Linked DNA regions of Astyanax mexicanus. The protein of the gene in region 1 binds, or shares a complex with, the protein of each later gene. Links are inferred from orthologs where the notes say so. Each region holds a gene or a part of one and is shown in the gene's direction. Other genes may lie near its edges.

Region 1 (12,774 bases):
GAAGATATAGGAAGTGTTTAGAGGCTGTTACTTCTGCAAAAGGAGGATTGTCTAAATATTGATGTATTTTTTCTGTTCAGGCCCAAATTTATGCACCTGCCTAATTTTGTTCAAAGATTTATTTCACACTTTCTGTAAATCCTATAAACTTAATTTCTCACCAGCCTGATCAGCATCACCAAGCTATTCCACCAGCCTGATCAGCTTCACCAAGCTATTCCACCAGCCTGATCAGCATCACCAAGCTATTCCACCAGCCTGACCAGCTATTCCACCAGCCTGATCAGCATCACCAAGCTATTCCACCAGCCTGATTAGCATCACCAAGCTATTCCACCAGCCTCATCAGCATCACCAAGCTATTCCACCAGCCTGATCCGCATCACCAAGCTATTCCACCAGCCTGATCAGCATCACCAGCTATTCCACCAGCCTGACCAGCTATTTCACCAGCCTGATCAGCATCACCAAGCTATTCCACCAGCCTGATCAGCATCACCAAGCTATTCCACCAGCCTGATCAGCATCATCAAGCTATTCCACCAGCCTGATCCGCATCACCAAGCTATTCCACCAGCCTGATCAGCATCACCAAGCTATTCCACCAGCCTGACCAGCTATTCCACCAGCCTGATCAGCATCACCAAGCTATTCCACCAGTCTGATCAGCATCACCAAGCTATTCCACCAGCCTGATCAGCATCACCAAGCTATTCCACCAGCCTGATCAGCATCATCAAGCTATTCCACCAGCCTGATCCGCATCACCAAGCTATTCCACCAGCCTGATCAGCATCACCAAGCTATTCCACCAGCCTGACCAGCTATTCCACCAGCCTGATCAGCATCACCAAGCTATTCCACCAGTCTGATCAGCATCACCAAGCTATTCCACCAGCCTGATCAGCATCACCAAGCTATTCCACCAGCCTCATCAGCATCACCAAGCTATTCCACCAGCCTGATTAGCATCACCAAGCTATTCCACCAGCCTCATCAGCATCACCAAGCTATTCCACCAGCCTCATCAGCATCACCAAGCTATTCCACCAGTCTGATCAGCATCACCAAGCTATTCCACCAGCCTGATTAGCATCACCAAGCTATTCCACCAGCCTCATCAGCATCACCAAGCTATTTCACCACAATGATCAGCATCACAAAGCTATTCCAACAGCCTGATCAGCTTCACCAAGCTATTCCACCAGCCTCATCAGCATCACCAAGCTATTTCACCAAAATGATCAGCATCACAAAGCTATTCCAACAGCCTGATCAGCTTCACCAAGCTATTCCACCAGTCTGATCAGCATCATCAAGCTGTTCCACCAGCCTGATCAGCACCACCAAGCTATTCCACCAGTCTAATCAGCATCATCAAGCTATTCCACCAGCCTGATCAGCATCACCAAGCTATTCCACCAGTCTGATCAGCATCTCCAAGCTATTCCACCTGCCTGATCAGAATCACCAAGCTATTCCACCAGCCTGATCAGCATCATCAAGCTATTCCATCAGCCTGATCAGCATCACCAAGCTATTCCACCAGCCTGATCAGCATCACCAAGCTATTCGAATTTTCAATTTTAGGGCACATAGCACAAAAAGTAAGAACATTTCTGTTTGGTAGATTATTTCAATTTGTAACAATGCTTCCTGACCATAATACCAATGAAAAAGTCTGTTAATTTCTCTTTTGAATTATGTCACCTTTAAAAGGAACATATATTCGACTGATGAGCAGCATAGCTGAGAATATGGGTTGTGCCCATGAAAAAATTGCCAAATCTTCTCTGTCATTGCCAAATAACTTATTATGCTGTTGCAATTAACACTTGTTTTTAGCTTCTGGTTCCTTCCAATTGGAAGCACCTGTGGGCATGGGCCATATGGGTTACAGTGGTCAGTAGGTGTCTGGCCTAAGAATTGGCATAATGCCACAGTTGACAGATCTTTATTAGCTACCTAGCTAAAACATTCCACACAATAAAGTAGTTAATGTTACCTAACCTAGCTGACTGTAAAAAAATAACTCAGCAAGGCAGATTATTGTAAGTCTTTGAAGTTGTCTGTTAGTTTAAACTATAGCTTGCTAGCTACAATTATCTCCTGTTTGCTACAGGTTTGCTTTTTAACTAGCTTGCATTAGCTAAGAAATCTAGCAATCTAGCTATCTACCTGATGGGTTTCTTAAACTGCAGTTAAGTTACCACTTGCCAAGATGTGACTATAGACACTATACACAAAAATAAGCAAAGAAGCATGTCTATGAGGCAGCTTCCCAGACAGTTCATATTCATAACCCCCCCTTCCATGATGAAAGTATGGAGGATTGCAAAGCATGTGCACAGTACAACATCTATGTAGTCTATGAAGTCATGTACTGGTGCTCACCACTTAGTATCTGGCGCTTACCACTTAGTATGTGGTACTCACCACTTAGTATGTGGTGCTCACCATTTAGTATTTGGTGCTCACCACTTAGTGTCTGGTGCTCACCACTTAATATCCGTTTTTCACCACTTAAGGCCAATTTATACTTCTGCATCAAACCTATGCCATGAGATTGGATGTGTTGGTTAAAGCTGCCCTGCCCTATAAAAACACACACCAGTTTTGAGTTTGCTGTATAAGAGGCATTGCTTGATTTGAAGCATGCCTCGCACAAAAGAGCTCTCAGAAGACCTACGTTCAAGAATTGTTGACCTACATGAAGCTGGAAAGGGTTACAAAATATCTCTAAAAGCCTTGATGTTCATGTGTCCACGGTAATACAGACAGTCTACAAATGGAGAAAGTTCAGCACTGTTGCTACTCTCCCTAGGCGTGGTAAAGGCCTGTAAAGATGACTGCAAGAGCACAGCGCAGAATTCAAGATTCAAGATTCAAGATTTTTATTGTCACGTCACAGAGTACAGGTGTACATGTGAGTGAAAAACTTGGAAAAAATGATCAATGAGGTGAGGAAGAATCCAGTGTCAGCTAAAGACTTCCATAAATCTCTGGCACATGCAAGGGCGTAGGAGCGGGTTTGATATTGGGGGGGACACTTTTGCTAATGCACCAAAGCCCATATAGTTTCTTAGAACAACATAGGAATTACTTTTAATCACAAATAATCCCTTTTTTCTGTACTCTGTTTATTATTAGTTACATCCAAGTAAAGGTGACTTTACAACCACCATGTTACTCCACATTACATTTAAACAAATATGCGTGAAATGTCTGAATTATATACATATATGACAAAAACTGATCAGTTATCATCTGCGCTTTTAGTTGTTTCTACTGAAAGCACTTCTTATGATGGTGTCCTTTTTTGAAAAAAGAATGTAACTTTACGTTTCATAGAGATTTTTGACAGAAGTTAATATAAATATTAGACTAAAGAAAAAAACATTTGGATTCACCTGGAATCCCTCTATTTACTCAGGATTTAGTCTTACTGTGAACTACAAATAAACAGAAGTCAGGTTAGAGCAGTGTTTCTCAACCCTGTTCCTACACATTCTACTGCATATCCCCACTGCCTACTCTGCTTTAAAGTCACTTAATAAAGTAAGTGGAGGTATGATGTGTCTAATACACTGCTGACATACATAATGAAAAGGATTTAAACAGGTAAACTCAGTAAAGGACTGTTTATTAGCAAATCAGTTGGATCTGGTAGAAACACACAATTTTAGGGCAGAGATCAGGGTTAATAAACTGCTTTAAACTACCAACATAAAGTACTGTACTAAATTCTGACTATCCACTACATCTGGCTTCTAGCTAACTATTTTTTCGTTTACTATAGCTTACAGTAAGTCCTGCAATCCTAAATTAATAAACACAATTTGAAAATGAAATAGTGATTAGCTGATCAGGGCAAGCTGAACATAACATATATATTTTTTTTAAGCCTTGACTCCCTGTCTAGCTAATTCCAAAGTTAAGCTAACTGACTAACACAGCTGCAGTTTATTATCACACGGTGGGTTTAATCTGTGTGTTTTGATTTGGAGAGTCTTTTTAACCAGCTATCAGAAATAATCTCAACACAGGCCACATGGTAAACTCCGTTACCTCTTAGAAAAATCGCCGTATATCCAGATTTACTTCAACACCAGCTGATGCTGGACACCGCTTCTAAATCTCACAGCGAGGGGGAGGGGCTTCTCCTCCACCAGCACGCTAACTCTTCTCGCAAGACCAGCGAGCTGATTGGCTGTTTCTCCTGAAAGGCGGGACTTTCTCCCTGAACCGGCACCGTGATTGGTTTCCCAGCGCTTAGCGGTCGGTCTCTTCATTAACAGTACGACTGAGCTGAGCGAAACTATTTCATTTTTGGGGGGGACAAATCCACCTGTTTCTAATCCCCCCCGGTTCCTACGCCAATGGGCACATGCATTTTTGTTGACAAATCTACAATAAGAGAAACATTAAACTAGAATGGAGTTCATGGGAGGACACCATGGAGGAAGCCACTGCTGTAAAAAAAAAACTATTCCTGCACGCTAGAAGTTTGCCTGGATGTTCCACAGCAGTACTGGCTAAATATACTGTGGACAGATGAAACCAAAATTGAGTTGTTTGGAAGGAACACACAACGCTGTGTGTGGAGAAAAAAGGCACATCACACCATCATCAAAACCTCATCCCAACTGTGAAACATGGTGGAGGGGGCATCATGGTTAAGGGCTGCTTTGCTGCCTCAGGGTCTGGACGGATTACCATCATCAACGGAAAAATGAATTCCCAAGTTACACAAGACATTTTGCAGGAGAACTTAAGACCATCTGTCCGCCAACTAAATCTCAACAGAGGATGGATGATGCAACAGAACAATGACCCAAAACATAGAAGTAAATCAAAACCAAATTGATTCAACAGAAGAAAATACGCCTTCTGGAGAGTCCTGACCTCCTGAACTCAATTAAGATTCTGTGACATCATGACCTCAAGAGAGCGATTCACACCAGATATCCCAAGAATATTATAGCTGAACTGAAACAGTTTAGTGAAGAGGAATGATCCAAAATTCCTCCTGACTGTTCTGCAGGTCTGATCTGCAACTACAGGAAACGTTCCTTTGAGGTTTTTGCTGCCAAAGGAGGATCAATCAGTTATTAAATCTGAAGGTTTACATACTTTTTCCACCCTCACTGTGAATATTAACATGTTGTGTTCAATAAAACCATGCAAACATATACATAAACATATTTTGTGTGGTACTGGTTTAAGCAGACTGTGTTTGTCTATTGTTGTGACTTAGATGAAGATCAGAACACAGAAAGCAGAAATCCAAATAGTCCCAAAGGGTCCACATACTTTTTTAGCAGCTGTAGGTTTGATGCAGGAGTATAAACTGCCCTTTAGTATGTGGTGCTCACAACCTAGTATCTGGTGCCCATAAAAAAACAGGACAACAAGTAAGAGAATGTACACAGTCCCTGGATGGGACTGTTTTTGTGATGTTTACTTGTAAAAAATGCTATAAATACCAGAGCTGCATAAAGTTATCCAAAAGCAGTGTGTAAGACTGGTGGAGGAGAACATGATGCCAAGATACATGAAAACTGTGATTAAAAACCAGGGCTATTCCACTAAATATTGATGTCTGAACTCTTAAAACTTTATGAATATGAACGTACTTTGCATCATTTGAGGTCTGAAAGCTCTGAATATTTTGTGTTATTTCATCCATTTCTCATTTTCTGCAGATAAATGCTCTAAGTGACAATATTTTTATTTGAAATTTGGGAGAAATGCTGTCTGTAGTTTATAGAATAAAACAATAATGTTCATTTTACTCAAACATTAAACCTATAAATAGCAAAATCAGAGAAACTAATTCAGAAACTGATTTTTTTTTTCAGAGCTGTATATATTAGTAAACTTAATTCTATTTTGATTCGATTTTTATGTGAAAACATATGAATATGAAACTGTTTTAAAGCTAAACATGTCTACTAATAGGAATTATCCGTTCCACCTTAAAAAAAAGTACAGCAGAAGCCTGATTTAAGGTGGAACGGAACGTATGAAAACAAACTTCAACTTCATGGATGGATACAGGTTAATTTCTGTATTTTTCGCCACTAAATATTTTTTTATTTCTTTAATACACGCTTTAGGAGATAATCCCGGTTAAAAAGTGTTTTATTTAGATCTTTAGTTTTTTGTTGAATTTTATTGTGAAGGCAGGCACGCGCACCGTCGCTGTGTCGTCATTTCCGGTCGGAGGAAGAGGTCGTCAGCAGGCTGTGAGTTGGAGCTGGGGATCTGGAGCTGCTGTTTAATCAGCAGGGTTACAGTTACAGGGCTGTGTCTGAATTAAACTCGGGGTCTGAGGGTGTTTAAGGTCGGTCTGTTCGCTGGTCTGGGTGTTTACAGGGCTCTACACACATTTATTAGCTTAGCTTAGCCTACATTAGCTTAGCTTAGCAGCTAACCATTTAAACAGCCCTATATAAATGCTAGCCTAGCTCTAATATCAGCTAAAACTCACTATATAAACTAGCTAACGTTATATATGTGTGATACGAGTTTTCAGCTGTTAAAATAACCTTAAGATCTGTTTTGGGCTTGCAGTGGTCTGGTGTGGTGGAAAGGGGCTTGTTTTGTAGCTGAATGACCTGTGTAGACTTGCTGCTGCAATGTGAAGCTTAAGAAATGTTGTGTTATGTTAATATTTAATAGATATATATGTATATTAGTGCGTTAAATAGCTAATTTATTTCAGTAATTTAGTTCAAAATGTGAAACTACATGTTTTTTTTCTTTATTGTTGACGATTATGGCTTACAGCCAATGAAATGAAAAGATTCAGTCTAATGGACAGTGTGGACAGTGTGCCAAGTCCTGCTGGAAAATGAAATCTGCATCTCCATAAAAGTTGCCAGCAGAGGGAAGCATGAAGTGCTGTAAGATTTTGGACTTGATATTAAACAGTGGACCAACACCAGCAGATGAAATGTCTCTCCAAACCATCACTGATCATCAGTAATTTCTACATTTTATTTGGAAATCAAGGGATCAGAGTCTGGAGGAAGAGTGGAGAGACACACAGTCCAAGCTGCTTGAGGTCTAGTGTGAAGTTTCCACCAATCATTAATGGTTTGGAAAGACATGTCATCTGCTGGTGTTGATCCACTATGTTCTATCAAGTCTAAAGTCAATGCCGTGTTTTCCCGGAAAATCTTATAACACTTTATACTTCCCTATGCTTCCCTCTGCTCTGCCTGTCTAGCTTGGTAATGCTGGTTATGCTGGTTAGCCTTAATTTGCTGGTTGTGCTGGTTAACCATTTTGGTTAAGCTTGGTCATACTATTTGTCTAGTTTGGTGATGTTATTTTGTGCTGGTCAACAAGCATTGCTTTGCTGGTTATGCCAACCATGGCTTTTTCTGGTCATGCTGGTCAACCTTGGCTTTGCTGTCAATCAGTTTGTTCTAATTTGTTCATACTGGTCACCTAGCTTGGTGATGCTGGTCATGGTGGTCAACCAGCTTGGCTTTGCTGGTTGTGCTGGTCAACCTGCTTGGTCAAATCTGTTCATACTGGTTGTCTAGCTTGGTGATGCTGGTCATGGTGGTTGTGCTGGTCAACCTGCTTGGTCATACTCGTTCATGCTGGTTGTCTAGCTTGCCTTTGCTGGTTGTATTGGTTAACCAGTTTGGTCAAATTTGTTAATATTGGTTGTCTAGCTTGGTGATGCTGTTTGTGCTGGTCATGTCAACCATGGCATTTTCTGGTCGTGCTGGTCAACCAGCTTGGCTTTGCTGGTCATGCTTATCAATCATGACTTTTTCTGTTCATTCTGGTCAACCTTGACTTTGCTGGTTGTGCTGGTCAACCTGTTTGGTCTAACTTGTTCATATTGGTTATGTAGCTTAATGAACTCTAAAGAGAGCAGGGGAGCAGTTGAGATTGAGCCTTCAGTGGTTTTAATGTTATGTCTGTTATGTTTTGTGTACATATTGTGTTATGCTTGCTCACCTATAACAGACATAGAGAGACAAGAGAGAAGAGACAAAAAAACAGACATAGAAAGAATGGGAATAAGAAGTGGAATGAGAGTGAGGCAATTGTGACAGAAAGAGTACAGCCAGGGCTAGAATAAGCTGTACTGTGTGTTTCATCACCATCAAGAACAAAAACAGCTTTACAGAGGAAGGACTGTTTATTGATCAATTCATTATTACATTTTAATGCAATGTGTACAGATTAACATAGTTTACCATAAGTTTACCATTTTTTTTTGCTTAATCGTGACAATATACAATAATGAATGTGCTTCATTTTAAATTTTAAGTAATTAATTTTATCCTTTTACTTTTAGACCAGCAAGCTCAGATGTCGTGGATCAGGGAAGGTGAACTAAGCCTACTGGAGAGGCTCACTGCCAATGTCCTAAAGGTAACTTAGATTTTATATCACTGGTCAGTCCACACTTGTAACTTTTAACCCTGAGGTCTATTTTTTTGTCTTTTTCTTCTTTACCTCACTGTATTTGTTTTTCACAGGCAGGGCCCATGCCCAAGCATGTGGCCTTCATTATGGATGGCAATAGACGCTATGCCCAGAAGAGACATGTGGAGAGGCAGGAGGGCCACACACAGGGCTTTGACAAGCTGGCTGAAGTGAGTATGACTTCAAATATGACCTTTAATGTTTATGGCTTTAGGTTTAGATGCAGATTTCATAAGGCAATTTCCTTCGATAGTGATCGTGAGGTTCACAGCATTGGCCTCTAGTGGTTTTATTCTGGTATTACAATCATGTGATTTGTACACAAATGTCTTTTGAGACGTACATAGAATAGAAGCTGACTGATCCCAAAGGAAATTGCAGTGTTGCTGTAGTGACACACTTAATCCAGGGGTGGGGAATCGGGTCTGGAGTCCAGCAAAGTTCTGCTGAACTTTTAGCAGGTGTGTTTAAACTTGAAAAGCTTGAAAATCCATCCTCTCAGGACCAAAATTACCCATGCCTCATTTAAACCGACACATTAGGCATCAAAAATGCTGCTAGGAGAAAGTAAGCATGCTGCCTTAATTTGGGTGGGACAATATATCGGTATACTAGTGCATCTAAAAGAATTAAAATATAGTTGAAAAGTTTTTTTTTTTTTACTTTATTTCAGTAATTCAGTTCAAAATGTAAAAACCCATACAGTATATTATATAGATGTATTAAACACAGAGTGATCTATTTTAAACATTTATTTCTTTTATTGTTGACAATTATGGCTTACAGTCATTGAAAACCCAAAAATCAGTGTCTCAGAAAATTTGAATATTATTGCCAGTGTGGGCAGTGTGCCAAGTCCTGCTGGAAAATGAAATCCTCATCTCCATAAAAGTTGTCATCAGAAGGAAGCATGAAGTGCTGTAAGATTTTGTAGGAAAACAAAACTGCACTGACTTTAGACTTGATAATAAAACACAGTGGATCAACACCAGCAGATGACAGACATGACTCTCCAAACCATCACTGATCATCAGTAAATTTTACATTTCATTTGTAAATCAAGGGAGCAGAGTCTGGAGGAAGAGTGGAGAGACACACAGTCCAAACTGCTCGAGGTCTAGTGTGAAGTTTCCACCAATCAGTGATGGTTTGGAGAGACATGTCATCTGCTGGTGTTGATCCACTGTGTTTTATTATCAAGTCTCAAGAATTTTTGTGACTCCAATTACAGTGTTATAAGAGTGACTGACAGTATTTAGTTGGTATTCTGTTTAACTCTCTTAGACACTACGCTGGTGTTTGAACCTGGGCATCCACGAGGTGACCGTTTACGCCTTTAGCATAGAGAACTTCAAGCGCTCTAAAGAGGAGGTGGGCGGCCTGATGGAGCTCGCAAAGGAGAAGTTCCTCCGCCTGCTGGACGAACAGTGAGTCACCTGGCAAAAAAGGCCCAATCCCATTTCACCCCTAAGCCCTATTCCTCTGTTAAGTGTTAGGGGGTAGTGTTGAGGGCTACATTAACCTTTAAACTGAAAGTTTTCAGAGGAACACTCAAAACAGAGCACTATGAGAATCACTGACAAGATGGCAGTGGCACAAGCCACAAAAGAAACCCTGTTCAAAATTACAATAACCACTATATTACCATAGTTTAATGTGTAGTATCAGTGTTTTATGACCATTTTTCTTCATAATAAGTGAAAGAAATTGTTCATTTCTGTATCTAGCTAACTAGCTAACTTTCCTCTTCCTCCCTAATTAGTGCAACAGATGGCAGAGACTGTTCAGACTGGAAAAATACAATATAATCAAAGCTAATTTCAGCTACACATTAAAGAACGAACCATAATAAGTCATTGCTGCACCATCTGTCCCCTTTCTGAAGACATACGATAAACCCTAAAGTTAACTAGGTAATCAGCAGCAGTTAGGTTGCTGAACTTTTGCGCTTTTGCGCTCAGTAGTGCCACCTACGGGCCACCACTAGTCGCCTAGTAATGAAGCTGCGTTATGCACTATATTCATATAATAATGAATAAACAATAAAACCAGTCTCCTTATCTTGTACAATAGTACTTCTAGTAACATTTCCTCCACTTAATGGCATTGGAAACATGTTAAGTTTTTTTTTTTTGGAACATGTAATATGAGACATCACACGCACCTTTGATTTATTATATTGGTAAATCAGTCAATACAGTTTTAAACTTGTAATTATGTAGCTGTGATCTCTAAATTAAATGATAAATGTGTAACATAGTTTCTGTAGTAAATCTATAAGTCTTTAAATCTATAAATGTAGTTGAAGTATGTAGTTTGTATTGTGACCAGTGTTCATATTCATATTATTTGAACAGCTAAATACTTAAATTAAAAATAGAAAATATTGGACAGGATATTCCTATATTTTGGAAAGTAAAATGATCTATTTTGATAAAAAAAAAAAAAAAAAAGCCAACTTACCATTATATTTCAGTTTTTCTACAGTAAACAGGTTTTAGGATGCTGCATTACTGCTACCATAAGCTGATTGAACTCACAGGCAGAGCTCTGAGTTTTAAAAGTTTATAACATGAGTTTAAAAACTTAAAAAAATATGTATATTAAGTATATTAATAGCAGTTTATTTAGTGGGGTGGGGTCAAATTAACATGTGCTAGTTAATTTTTGGAACTTTGAACTTTTTTAAAATAAATTATGAACATGAACTAGTTCAATTAAACAAGTATAAACTGAGCTTTGAACTGGTTCATTTTAAATGTGAACTGGCACAAAACTAATTATAAGAAGTTTATTTACGGTTTATAGTGTGTTCATGTGTTTGTGTGTGTTTTAAGAGAGAACCTGGAGAAGCATGGCGTTTGTATCCGGGTGCTGGGAGACCTCACATTACTGCCAGAAGATCTGCAGCGGCACATCGCAAAAGCTGTGGTGTCGACCAGAGCACATAACAAGTAAGAACACCATCATCCTGCCCTTCTGGGAGTAAAGCACCTCCAAATTCCTGACTCCTTCTACCTACTGGCCTTTATACCCTGTGCACTTCAAACTAGCACCTCTTGCCTAGATAGAGACATGTTTGCACATCTCTGCTGAATTTTCTCAGTCAGTGTTATGTGGTAGAGTCACCTGGAATTCAGGCTTTCAGTTAACAGCTGTGCTGAACTCATCAAGAGTTAATTACTTGTTAAATTTCTTGTCTCTTAATAAAGTGTTTGAGAGCATCAGTTATAAAGTAGTGAAGAGGTAGAGTTACAGGTATACAGTGAATATTGAATATTTGAATAATGTTCTAAGGTGGTTGCTGTGGTATCTGTAATGGTTGCAGTGCTGTTGCTAAATGTTTGCTAGGTGGTTTCAAGGTGGTTGCTATGTTGTAACTACGTGGTTGCTAAGGTATTTCTAGGTGATTGCTAAGATGTTGCTACACTGTAAAACCCGATAAGTTGACTAAACTCAAAACTTTAGTTGTAACCGATTACCTAATACATTTTAAGTTCATGTAATATAATGTTTAAGTACAGTGAACTTAACAAATACATATACATATATATTCAAAAATAATATTTTCCTGAACGTGTATTTAGTCTTCTTTCTGGTTCATAGAAAAGTAGATGAAAGAAAACTTAAAGTAAAAAGTAAAGAAGAATTAAAAGTACTGAGAACAGCTCAGTAAATGATGCTTGTTCTACAGCCAACACCACAGAAACCAAGCATTTAATCATAATATATGATCTACAAGTGAACCTAAAGTAGCCCCGGGGGAATCACTACACACTGATGGTGAGTGTTACCCTGCGTTCACACTGGAAAGCGACAAAGCGACAGGCGACCATTCATTTCCTATGGCAGGGCGCGATTTGTCACCGCGACACGCGAGAGGTGACAAAGCGACAGAGCGACAAGCGACACGGATATGAATTTTTCTCAACTCTATGCAAATGAATTATGACGCGGTGAAGCGACATTCTAACCCAATTGGCTCCTAGCTTTTCTTTGGACCAATCACAAACAAGGCGGTTCGACGTCCTCTGAATTTCTAGTTTCTTTCCCGGTTCTTTCTGTTGAACGGGGTGGACCCACATCAGTCTGTGGGAACGGCTGCGTTCCCAGCGCAGTTAAATCACAGAAACGCACAAGAGTCCAGCAAGTTTGGGAGTTATAGCTGGAGAATAAAGTGGCCAAGTGATTCCTTTTTTGTGCCTTTTTTCTTGTCGGAGGCTGGACCATGATAAACGCGGGCGTTGAGCTTGACACGCCCACAAGCGACAAACGCTGGGCGACACAAGCGACTCGTCGCGTTCCAGTGTGAACGCA
Region 2 (12,951 bases), about 39 Mb from region 1:
AACAGGAATTAAAAGATAAATATACTGTAGTCTATGACTAGACTTAATGCATGTCTGTGAAATGGCCCCTATATCTCTCATTATTTATTATTGAATTAGGTTTGATATGGGTTGAAATAATCAACCCATAAAGTGTCCTCTGTGACAGACACACCAGCAACATCCATCTCCAAAAAAAAACAGAGTACTCAAAGAGAGGAACGAAGAGACAAAGTATCTGCTAAAAGTATTTAAGCAGAGGAAACTGCATTTGTTGTCTAGAATGGGCTGTAAACAGGTTATCACCAAGGTTCTCACATCTGCGGACAGACAGGACAATCTGTGACTGCTTTGCCAGTTCCTTGTCAGTGTTTTCCAACACAGATAGTGATCTAGGCCATTGTTCCCAATAAAGCGGAGAAGGCCTACACTCAGCAGAGCCCCAGTCGCTGAGCTATTTAAGCCACAGGTCTTCAAAATGCTGCTTCAGCACCAAGGCAGCCCCGGTCATCTACACAATGCGGACACTTCACATTCTCATTTACACCCTGCTCTTCCCTCTCCTCTCGCTCTGCAGCCAAGTGTGTCCAGAGAAATGCGTCTGTGAACAAACCGGATCAGTGCAGTGTTTCAGGGTACAGTCCATGCCCTCAGGCATCCCGAGAGATGTGAGAAAACTTAACCTGGGATACAACCACATTAAGGAGATCAAGGTAACTGTTCTTTTTTACTCCAGATCCATCTCATTTGCACCTGTTTAGCAACATTCTCTTGTTTTCTGTATTACTTATTTGGAGTGTTTTAAATAAGGCATACTCCACAATGATTCACATCTGGCACAAATTTTTTTCTCTCTACATTTTATTCAGTATTATATAAACTGTTATGTAGGATTAATTTTGAGTTTTTCATTTTTAATTTTAATGATAAGTATGTTTGCGTTTTGTTGGTTTAGTAAATCTACCTTTTGAAATTAAGCTTGTAGTGTACAATATGTTTTATATGTTTCCTCAGATTTAGAAAATATTTTCTGTTCCAAATTGTGTTTGTTTAAAAAAAATTATTGTATTATTGGCATTGTGATGTCATTGTAATATTGTCCTACTGACCCATGCACCCAATTAATAAATAAACCAGATATTTGAAGATTGCTCTCATATTATACATTTAAGTCAATTATAACTGTTTATTATAATTGATATATTCAGATACTTTTATCTTTTAGGTTCTAGTTTTGTCTAATTAAAAATAGCTTTATTCTTAGTTTGGTAAACCAGCATTATAGGTTTTCCACACCCATATCTACATGGTGTACATCATATTTTGAAAGCAGTTAACAATTAGTTAGGGCAGTTAATGCATAAGATGTATCACTATCAATAACTGCGTAATAAAGCAATCGTTTAATGCAGTGTTTTTCAAGCTGAAAGCTGCAGTGTTACTTCTGGGAGCTGTTGTTCCAATTAATTTGAATGTCAGTTTTTTTGCAAAAAGAAAAACATTGAATTTTGGATGGTGTTGTTGGAGGTTTTTACATTTATATTAGTGCTGTTCTTCATGAGGTTTTTGAGCAATTTTGAGCATATTACGTAATTTAATGGACTACATTGATTGTTATGCTGTACTTATTTTGATTTGATAATTAAATACTTGTTGTTGCTGTGAAATGTTAATGAAATGAGTAAATAGAGCCCACACTGTGTGTGTTTTTTTTTTGTGCTGTCCCTCATCCAGCACACCTGATGCAACTAATTAATTAACAAATATCCAATAACCTGATCTACATCAGGTGTGTAAGGATAAGCAGGACCCAAACCTATTGAAACAAATGTGATTCCTGACTTTGTGTTATACTGGGCTATTTTAAAGAGCCTTTTTTCTTTTTTCCTTTTCTCTTAGAATCGAGATTTGTCGGGTTTGCAAAGTCTTGAAGAGATCATCCTGTCTTCCTGTGGAGTGGAGCAGCTAGAGGGTAATGTTTTTAGGGCCCAGAGGCTTTTAAAAACTCTGGATCTCCAAAAGAACAAACTGAGGAACATTCCTCGTGGCCTGCCCTCCAGCCTGGAGAGCCTTCACCTGGGTCACAACAGGATCCAGACATTGCAGGAGTCCACCTTGCAGGGTCTAAAGAAACTCCGCCTCCTGAACCTCCAGAATAACCTCATCACTACTTTACGCTCCAGTACTTTCTTAGCTCTCACTGTGCTGGAGGAACTATATCTGGAGGGTAATAAACTCGAGGCCGTGCAAGGTGCCCTCAGGTTGCCAATGCTGACTCAGTTAAGCTTAGCAAACAACAAAATCCATTCACTGCCTTCAGCTTTCTTCTCATCACTGCAGCTTCTTAAAACATTAGACCTGTCCTCTAACCTTTTGACTAAGGTGCCTCATGACCTTCCTCAAGCTCTGCTTAACCTCAGCTTGGACAGGAACCAATTAAGAAGTTTAAAAAGTCGTGATTTGGCTCAGTTGCGTGATCTGGTTACGCTGACTGCCTGCTACAACAGGCTGGTGTCGGTGGATGGAGGCCTTCGCCTGCCCAGTCTGAGTGTGCTGGAGCTGGTAGGAAACCAGCTGCGTGTGCTGCCCGGGCGGCTATCAGCCAAACTGGAGAAGCTTGATTGTGGGCAGAATCACATCCAGGAAGTGAGCCATCAGCAGCTATCTGGACTGAAGCAACTGCGCCATCTTTTTCTGGAGAACAACACCATCCGACACTTTGAGAGCAATGCTCTGAGGCACTGTGCTCACCTGACTAACCTGGCTTTAGAGAAGAACCTGCTCTCCACGTTTCCAAACAGGTACAGTTACATCTGTGTTTTATACTAAGGTTAATGTAGTCTGATAAGAACTGGACAATAATTTAATATTAAAATAGATGCATTATTAAAGAAAACGTTAGACACAGAAGAAAGTATCTGATTGTGATGCTATTTGGATAGAAGATTAAGGTTATTAGGATTTTTTTTTTTCAAATGCACAGTAGATTTATTTGGTATGTCAAAAGTTGCAGAACACCCTTTAACGAAAAGAAAAATGACATATCTGACTGTCCCAGCAAGTAATGGGTGGGTAGGGTGACTATTAGGGTATGTCCAGAACATGGCCGCCATCATGAAAGATGCCATATTCTGTTTCTTGAATTAAAGGGTGTCATATGGCTTTCGCATTGCATATGCTTTCGCATAGTATCTGTGTCCTAAAGGCAGGCTCTTAAGACGGCAGCAGTGTGTGGACAAGCATTGTCCTGTTGCAACAGTGCAGCAGAGGGTTGCATTTAGAAAAGGTAGGGACACTGGTTGCAGGACATTATTAACAAAATGATACAAGGCATTCTGGATGTAAAACAAAAGCACGGATCACGTCACTGTTTATTATTCACAGCATCTGTCACTGGCTGACAATCATTACAGGGTGCTCTACATAAATTGACATGGCACATAATTAGGTACAGGCATACTGTGTGTGTGTTCTTTGCAGTTTTTTTTGCAGTTTTTTTATTGTTCATTACAATGCAGGTAATATAGTGTATCAACTGAAATTAAGAAATATATTGTGTAATAATTTTTTGGCCATATCGTCCAGCCCTAAATCTGATTGTTAAATATTCTTGTGCATATGCATATCTCAACAGGCTTCCTGAAACCCTGGTTCGCTTGGATTTGAAGGGGAACAATATAGCCATGATTAAGGAGCATGAACTAAAGTCTCTGAAGCGGCTCCAGGTGTTGAATCTGCGCAACAACAGGCTCTCATCGCTGCCTGCTATGAACCTGCTGCCCAAACTGAGGACGCTGTATGTTGACGGAAACCCCTGGAACTGCAGCTGTGACCTGTTCAAGGTCAAGAGGTCTCTGCAGGCGAGAGACGTCGATATAAGCTCTGATTTCTGCACTGAGGCTGTTCAGACATCAGTGGACATTTGGCAGGCGTATGTACTGACACAGGAGAAGTGTGAGGAGACTGAAGAGTCATTACCAGAGAGCCAGACTGAACCCACAGACAATGAGGACTACTATGATTACGATCTTTTGTAAAGTTAATAATTTGCCATCTGTTTTTGATTTTCCATGGATTATGCTTTTTGTGTTGATTTAAACATAATAAATGCATCATCCATTCCTACACAACACCTGTTTTAGTCTAATGCACACAGAAATGTGAATATTGAATATCCTGTACAGTGTCTATTAGTGTACAGTGTTTATTATGTGTAATTATAGAAGTACAAAAAGAATTTCTTGATTTGCTGTTTATTGCTACAGTCAAAGGACACTATTGAACGACCACTGAACATTACATCTGTGTCTCTGTCTCTGCCTTTAAGACAACATAACATTTCTTTTTTTTTTCACTCACTCACTCACTCACACTCACTTACTCACTCACTCACTTACTCAGTCTATCACAATTGTCCACAAGGGGGAGCTGTTAGTACTCGAATAGCTTTCAGTGACACCGTGTGTCTTCAGTCCTGTTCAGGGGAAAGTCTGTCACAATTTTGAACAGAGACGTCAGACTTTCTAAATGGTTTAGAACATCAAGCATAAAGTTAGGTTATAAAGTCAATAAATGTACCTCTTAATTTACTAATGCCTCATATTTCATAAGTTAGATTAAATCCTATATTTGTGGAATTTTGCCCTCACCTTTAACTGTCAGTACACACACACTTAACATTGTGAGCTATAGTTATTATTTCTTAATTACACTGATTAATTATTGAAATTACTTGGAAACGTTGCAGAATACTTTTTGGATGTAATATAACAATATTAATAATGAACATTGTATTAATTCTACACCTCCAGATATTGCTTAATTGCTCAATTTCAGCTAAATCTATTGCTGACCGGCATTCAACTGTGGACACAACTTCTCCATCAAAACATTCCCAGTATAATGGGAAAGCAGGAAAACCTGAAAACCTTCTCTGGATTTACGAAGCTTCCTTCAGTCAGTACCTTTGGTATCAGTTCAAGGGCGAGTTTAGGATATATCATTCAGATCATTTAATGTGGGGCGCTGAAATCAAGAGATTACATGAAAAAATGGATAGAGGAAACTTTTTTTTACTTAATAGACCACTGAAGTCATGGGTCATTCTGTATGGCTTCCATGTCTAAGCGGTTTTTCTCTATGAGGAAAATGAATGGGCTTTTCAAAAAAATCACCTGTCACATTCTGTGGTAAATAAATATGTTCTGAATCCTGTACGTTTTATTCTGTGCACATTTACCTCCTTAAACACTGGATTCTTTGAATTTCGAGATAGTTTAGGAGTCGTAATGAGAAAAATGCTAGCTTGAAGCTAATGCTACAGCAGAGTGAACTGATGTCCCAGCACAGCTGCAGAGATTGCTAGAGGAATCTTTCCAGCGCAACACCAGTGAACTTTAATGATCATCTGTGAAGGAGAAGAATAATCTTAAACGCGATCTGGCCAGAGTTAGCTGGTGTACTGCAGAATCGGGTCTGCTGCCGTTGTGCTGTGATATCAGTTAAGCATTAGCTTAAAGCTAGCATTTTTCTAATTACTACCATTAAACGGTCTCGAAATTCAGAGGATCCAGTAATATTTAGGTAAATGTACACAGAGTAAAACGTACAGGGTTCTAAACATATTAATTTATTACAGGATGTGACAGAGGCCAGTCAAGCCCATTCAAATTTTTCATAGACCTAAACCTCTGAGACGAGGAACCCCAAACATGGGCATAATGGCTACAAAATGACAACATGACTTTAATGGTCTATTGTTAGGCACAATTAATTGTGTTAAAAAAATAATAATACGTTACTGATTTCAAATTATTTGTGTGCGTTAATGCCTTAATGTTAACAGCCCTGATATACAGCTCTGGAAAATGTTCATTTTATTCAAACATATACCTATAATTAGCAAAATTAAAGAAACTGATTCAAAACTGAAGTGGTCTCTTAATTTTATCCAGAGTTGTAATTTATATACAGCTCTGGAAAAATAAGAGACCGCTTAAAATGATGAATTTCTTTTATTTTACCAAATTGAAAACCTCTGAAATTCAATCGAGAGGAAGAGGTATGATCACAACCCAACAAAACAAGCTGAACTGCTTGAGTTTTTGCACCAGGAGTGGCATAAAGTTATCCAAAAGCAGTGTGTAAGACTGGTGGGGAAAAAAAAGCTCTGCATCTTTTTTTGTTAATATCAGTAATTTCTCATTTTCTGCAAATAAATGCTCTAAATGACATTATTTTTATTTAATTTGGGAGAAATGTTGTCCGTAATTTATAGAATAAAACAACATCTGCATCTTTTTTGTTAATATCAGTAATTTCACATTTTCTGCAAATGAATGCTCTAACTGACATTATTTTTATTTGAATTTTGGAGGAAAAACAATAGTTTTTATTCAAACCTATACTTATAAATAGTAAAATCAGAGAAACTTATTATTTTGTTATTATTATCGTGGTCTCTTTTTTTTTTCCAAGAGCAGTATATACAGTAGATCAGTGTCGTCCTCTCAGCACTGGGCGTAACAGGAGGTCACGTGAGAGTGACTCTCTCAGAGTGAACCCTCTCGCTGTGGTGCTGTAGGATCTTTGCGCGCCTCGTCCAATCAGAGAGCTCCATGTAACACAGCGGGTTCAAAGTGGAAAGGCTGAGGAATGGCAGCCGGCAGCCTGTGGCGTTGGCGCTTGTCGGAGCGGCGTTTATGAGCGAGCTGTCCGGAAGCCCTTAGCATGCGGGGTCTGCTGAGCTCCTGACAGACGTGCGGTCCTATCAGAGCCCGAATCATGGCGCTGTTGTACGAGTTGGTGTGGCGGCTCCTGCACTGCCTGCTGCAGCTCCAGAGAGCGGCCGCCGCCTGGATCCGAGGCCGCGTCTGGAGGCGAGGCGGGCGGCTGTGCAGGAGAGCCGCGCTGCGGCTGCCCGGAGCTCTGGGCTTCAGCACCCAGAAGAAGACCGCCAAACCCCGCCGGGTCCGCTGGGTAGCGGACGGCAAGGCTCTGGAGAAGCTGCCCCTTCACGTGGGCTTACTGGTGGCCGAGGAGGAGCAGCAGTACACGGACATAGCCAACCTGGTGGTGTGGTGCATGGCGGTGGGCATCTCATATGTCAGCGTGTATGATAATGAAGGTAAGACCCGGACACTGAATGTAGATACAAACACAGATACAAAAAAATAATACACATATGTTATTAATTAATGAATGAATTAATAAATATATGAATGAATATAGGGAAGTCTGTGACCCGGTGAATCACATGCACTACAGTCACCAGACTTCAGCTTGTGGTTTTCTCTGCTTCCCTCTTAATGAAATCTACACCTGTGATCTTTAAACATCCTGTAAAAAGGCTTAAACTAGTTCTAAAAACATTATAACAGGGTCCATACCAGGGTCCATACCATACTGAAATTAGTCTGGATAGAAGTTGAGTAACTTTGTAATGCCAGTGGGAAAAAAGTGCCATGCAAGGAAAAGTAGAACTGGATTATGTTAATATACAGCTTTATCACTTAAAAAATATGAGTTTTTGATTTTACTGAATTGAAAACCTCTGGAATATAATCAAGAGAACGATGGATGATCACAAGCCACCAAACCAAACTGAACTGCTTGAATTTTTGCACCAGGAGTGGCATAAAGGTATCCAAAAGCAGTGTGTAAGACTGGTGACGGAGAACATGCCAAGATGCATGATAACTGTAATGAAAAAAACAGGGTTATGCCACCAAATATTGATTTCTGAACTCTTAAAACGTAATGAATAGGAATTTGTTTTCTTTACATTATTTGAGGTCTAAAAGCTCTGCATCACTTTTATTCCAGTCATTTCTCATTTTCTGCAAATAAATGATCTAAATGATAATATTTTTTTGGGACTTGGGATGGAATGTCTAGTTTATAGAATAAAACCGTTAATTTTACTCGAACACATACCTATACGTAACAAAATCAGAGAAACTGATTTAGAACCTGAAGTGTTCTCTTCATTTTTTCTAGAACTGTATGTTACTTTTCACAATAACAGTATTTTGTGGACGATGTATCATGGTGATTGTGATAAACGTAATAGTCATTTTAAGACTGTTTAATGCCATTGATGTAATGATGATGATAATAATATAGCATAACAAAATCATTCATACCCTTATATACTTTTTTACCTACTGCAATCCACACTATGTGTATTTAGATGCAGTTATTAAAGTATTGATTATTATGGGTTCTATCGGGGTTAGCACAGTGAATATAGCAGTTCTGTAAGTCTGTAAATTATGTAATTTGACTCTGCACCTAACATTCTACCTTATTTCACATGTGCACACTGCAGTGACTATTCTGAAAAGTCATCTAAACTTTTTCTTTTTCTGGAGGTCAACAAATATCTAAACTCAAGTATCAGATTAAAAAATAATACTATAGAGATTTAATAGTGTTCTCCTCATAGTTATAGGTTTATCCTGAGTACAAAGTGTTTTTGATTGGACCAATGCAAAGTAATCTTGCTCTTTGCTGTAATCATTAACCAGACAGGAAGTGTGCTTCCACAAAAAAAATCTGTAGGAGCCAGGAAATGACACACTGTATTTTTAGGTCCTTGATCATGTGATTGAAGTGTACAAAAACTGATTGATAACTGGAAATTTCACACATTTATGAACTTATATCATGGTTTGTCACATGGGTCTCTAAATATATTAAACTGAAAAACATCTTTGCATAATGTCAGTATGGGTATCTGCTGACATGCGTTTCCCAGTTTTGCTTCAAAGAGAAATTTGGTGATGTTTTGTGTATTGTGATGTTCTGTTTATGGCTCATCATCCACCTCATATCCAAAAATCCACAAATGGCTAAGTCTATTTGTAGATCTAAGGATGATTTACACATAATTAATATTGTAAAACTGCATGGGCATAGTTATGATTCGCTTAAAACTATAGTTACTTCATTTTAAATCGTTTTTTTTTTTGGTATGTGAAGCCGAAAAACACATTCATAAAGGATTTTAAATTGATTTACACTAGTACTTCATGTTTCAGCTAATTTGTAGGAAGCTAAAACCTTTAGTAGATTTTTTTTATTTGTATGTTAATGTTCCATCCAGGTGGGCTCAGGTTTAAAACCTGATCATATCCATATGACAATAGCTTTTTAAGAGTAGTAGGTTACTTCACATAACTTTATTGGTTATGTTGGGTATATACAGTTCTATATAAAAAGTGGTTTAATGGTATAATTGTGTTATAATTATAAATAAACCAAGTGCTTAAGAGCTTTTGAGTCATTGTATGAAAGGCTTTCTTTTTCTTTTTCTTCCCTATTTTCCTAGTTTCCAGTTATTCCATCTTGGCCTAGTTAAATCCCTCCTGGGATATTTCTCAATGACCCGGGTGGGTGGGGTGGTATAGAGTGCTTTGCAGGCTGGATTACCTTTAACCCGGATTAAGCAACCCTTAACGCTCAGTGTGGATGCAGTACTCAGTGCCGTGTTGTCTAGCATACATAAGTGTGACATATCAGTCAGGTGGAGGTTTTATCATCACGAGAGAGACTGATTTGGACTCGCTGTGTGACTCATGAGAGGTTATAATTAAAACTGAGCATGGTTGCTTCCTCATCAAGTTCTGTGTCTAAGTTTGTCCCCAGGCCAAGCATTACAGTGTAGAATTTTTTTTTTAAGGAAATAATAAAGAATTTCTCACCTTTGCTTGCTCTAGGAAGGTCTGTCTCATAACTGATACATCACAGATTTATATGCTAGCAGACTCTTGGTATTGGGCATTTTGACCATAGGCTGAAAAGCAGCATCCATTTAAACTGTTGCATTCTGTTGTACACTGTTCTGGTGGGGACAATATAAACTGTTTTATCTGAGCTAATTGGTTGAAAGTAGATTGCTGTGGGAATGTTACAGCAGTGACTGACCCCTTTTTTTTTGTTTGAAGGTGTCTTCAGGAGGAATAACTCCAGGCTAATGGAGGAGATTATGAAGCAGCAACAGGAGCTCCTGGGCTCAGAAAGCTGCAAGTACTCACTGGAATTCCTAAACAATGGAACAGATCCACACGGTGAGCATTCACACCCTTCTCAGACTTCTCAGTGGGAGTATACAGACAGGTTATGCCAGAAAAGCTGACCTGAAGCACCTGTTCTGACACACTTCACCTCGTTTATAATTACTCTTTATCAGTTATTACCCATCCTGCTCCAGGTGTGCCCTATCCGGCATAGGCAAATGTTTTAATTGTTACATACAGTCATACATACTACAGCTTTTTAGCAAAGTTTTAGAAAAATGACCAAAAAAAAAATGTGTTTTTGCATAGAAATGATTTATACTAAATATACAGTCAAGAATTTAGACTAGTTCTAGGACATTTTGCTGGCTTGTGTACAAATGTATTCGAACAATTTGAAGTGAGTATGTTTTTAGAGCAGAGAAGCGCTAAAAATGCCCCACAAGGTTAGGAATGCACAATATAGCCAATTATTATATTTTTATGTAATTTATTTATGGGTATCATATATAATTTGTAATATTGAATTATAAGACTGGATATTAGACTGTAGTTATTGTACGTTATACTGGTGTAAAATAGGAGTACTTTACTAACTAAACAGAAACTAAACAAGAATAAATTAAGATATAAACTGAAATCGGTTTGTAGAACATTTTAACATGAAAAAATTTTAACAAATAAAACTGCAACTAAAAATGTTAATTATTTCATAGCACATTTATTAAACCGCAGAAATATAATGCTACATTATCTGGTTTACAGATGACTTATGCATATCCACTGCTGACAAAATACATAAGAATGCATGGGTAATAAAGGTACTGCAAAGGGGCAGACCAGCTCCATATAAATTCTTATACAGATTTGGAATGTGATGACAAAAGCTCCTGAAGGTGTAATGTTGGGATGTCACGTTAGTATATATATATTTTTTTCTCTTATATAGAGCGTATTAGGTTTTGCGCTAATAAATCTGCTTTCCATCAAAGCTAGATGTGATTGTATAGTTAATTAATTATTTATTTAAAAATATGTGTTGGATTATTTGTACAGTTAAACATTTCAGTACCACAGAGAACTGCCCTCCTCAAAGAGATTTATTGCTGTAAAGATTTTTAAGGGTTTATTCTTGAGCCTAATTTTGTTCTGTGGAATTATTTGAGATTCTTCTTTTTTTTGTTTGTTTAAAACTAGAGCAGCACACAGTTTTAAGTGTTTCTCTGTATACAGATCTATTATTATTGACTTTATTTGTTCTACTGAAAACACACCATTGGTTCAGTAATGAATAAAGAAGTTGAAATGTATGATTATCTTTGAGCAGATATTATGGCACTGATTAAACTAAGCTATTCTAACTGGCTGACTGGTTTGTGTGTGTGTGTTCAGCGCTGTTGTGTCAGACGGTGGTGAAGGTGTTGTCTCCAGATGATGGGAAGCTCCGTATTGTACAGGCAGCACAGCAGCTGTGTAAGGCTGTGGAGAAGAAAGAGAGGACATCCAAAGACATTGACGTCACTGTGCTGGACTCTTTACTGCGAGGTGAGTGGCCACTAACCTGCTGACCGGCAGTGCTTGAGTTCTTTTAAACATTGGTCACACAAACATTTATTATCTGTTGTTAAACATTAAACCCTGTTCATTAGTATTAAATACTTTCTTAAATTTTTTATGTAGTTATATTGCATATATTTGTATTAGTCCCCCCCTTTAGAAACTTTGGTCAGTTTCAGTGACACCGTATGCTACTCTAATTGTTAATATTTATGTTTAATTTGGATAATAGCTCAATACCAGTAACAGAGGAATATTTCTAAAAAATATTTTTTTGATCCAGTCACCGCCTACAGATTGGGGTCCTTTAATTTGAACACTTCAGATTTTTGAACATGTATTTATTTTAATTAGGCTCCCAGTGATGCCAGATGTTATATGCTTTAGTTAACTTAAACTGTTCAAATATGCTGTTTTACATGACACGTACATAAAACGTTCTCTCAATAAGTCCAGCTGTCAAGGTGTGTGTGCTGATGGACCAATGGTTGATGCAATACACTCTATATATATATGTATATGTATGTATATATATATATATATATATATATATTTTAAGCCTTTATTTTCATTTTTTCTAATGGCACATTGCTGTATCTCACTGGTGTATTTTGAGTGTGCTGTATCGATCAGGGCATATACTAGAAATCTATAACTACAGAGTATAGCTATTACACAACTGATCTCAAAAAATGAGGGTTTGTCAGGTATCATTTTGAGTACAGGAATATGAAGGAAGTAGTAGTTTGAGGTTTAACCAAGCAAATTATTGATTCATTGTTTGCGTTTGCCTACAGGCGTTTTATTATTGCTTTCAGTCATCTTAAAGTATTTTGTGTGTGTGTCTTTGTGTCTGTGAGGCAGTGCTCTGTATGCCGACTGGGTGCAGCTGTTCTTTGCTAGCTGCTCTCTGGCCCTGCAGCTGTCCAGTAGCTGTGTTGAAAGACTCTGTAATGATTTGAGAAAGCACAGAGTTTATGGTGCAGACTGTTAAGCCTGTCAGACCCTCACTATTCTGCTCACACCTGACATGTATCTTTTATTCCCCACTTTAGAGTCGAAGAACGTCCCAGACCCAGACCTGGTGCTGAAGTTTGGTCCAGTGGATAGTACGCTTGGTTTTCTGCCTTGGCACATTAGATTAACAGAGTTCATGTGAGTATAAAGAGTGCATATGTGTGTTTTTAATGGGAGCCATGTATGAATGTGCAGTGCTGCGATTAAAAAAAAATATATATAGTACTGAATAAAATTCTAAATCTAAAAAAAATAGTTAAACCCATTTTGCTGCTATAAATAACCATTTTATTAGGTTCCTTAATGGCTCCCAATTGTCGCCCAGTGGCTCAAGTGCCGAAGTGCTGGCCCAGTCATCAGCAGGTCACTGGTACTGGCT

What was found.
Region 2: the proteins of dhdds (region 1) and nus1 are in contact, whole or in part, in a crystal structure (PDB 7PAX), measured with the Homo sapiens proteins. The link is inferred for Astyanax mexicanus from reciprocal best matches to the Homo sapiens genes DHDDS and NUS1. Residues at the interface, in NP_995583.1 of Homo sapiens: Arg37, Arg38, Glu81, Asn82, Lys84, Arg85, Arg159, His160, Ile162, Ser163, Val166, Arg167, Met169, Ala170, Trp171, Val173, Glu174, Pro180, Ser181, Ile183, Ser184, Glu185, Leu188, His199, Glu209, Val210, Arg211, Leu212, Ser213, Asp214; in NP_612468.1 of Homo sapiens: His137, Gln138, Pro193, Glu194, Lys197, Ala198, Ile200, Val201, Ala204, Gln205, Phe207, Cys208, Gln209, Val211, Ala212, Arg217, Pro218, Thr219, Leu221, Asp222, Val223, Leu226, Asp237, Pro246, Val247, Asp248, Ser249, Thr250, Leu251, Gly252.

What each region holds. Positions count from the first base shown.
Region 1 is NC_064408.1:119,798,526-119,811,299, reverse strand, and holds the start of dhdds (dehydrodolichyl diphosphate synthase complex subunit DHDDS), read left to right. Parts: upstream 1-6,214; 5' UTR 6,215-6,346; intron 6,347-8,326; 5' UTR 8,327-8,340; coding exon 8,341-8,403; intron 8,404-8,510; coding exon 8,511-8,627; intron 8,628-9,741; coding exon 9,742-9,884; intron 9,885-11,294; coding exon 11,295-11,411; intron 11,412-12,774. UniProt on the Homo sapiens protein: With NUS1, forms the dehydrodolichyl diphosphate synthase (DDS) complex, an essential component of the dolichol monophosphate (Dol-P) biosynthetic machinery.
Region 2 is NC_064408.1:80,420,382-80,433,332, forward strand, and holds the start of nus1 (dehydrodolichyl diphosphate synthase complex subunit nus1), read left to right. Parts: upstream 1-6,587; 5' UTR 6,588-6,762; coding exon 6,763-7,105; intron 7,106-9,926; coding exon 9,927-10,049; intron 10,050-11,390; coding exon 11,391-11,543; intron 11,544-12,610; coding exon 12,611-12,710; intron 12,711-12,951. Other genes in the region: nephrocan-like, read left to right, coding at 498-692, 1,879-2,780, 3,614-4,016. UniProt on the Homo sapiens protein: With DHDDS, forms the dehydrodolichyl diphosphate synthase (DDS) complex, an essential component of the dolichol monophosphate (Dol-P) biosynthetic machinery.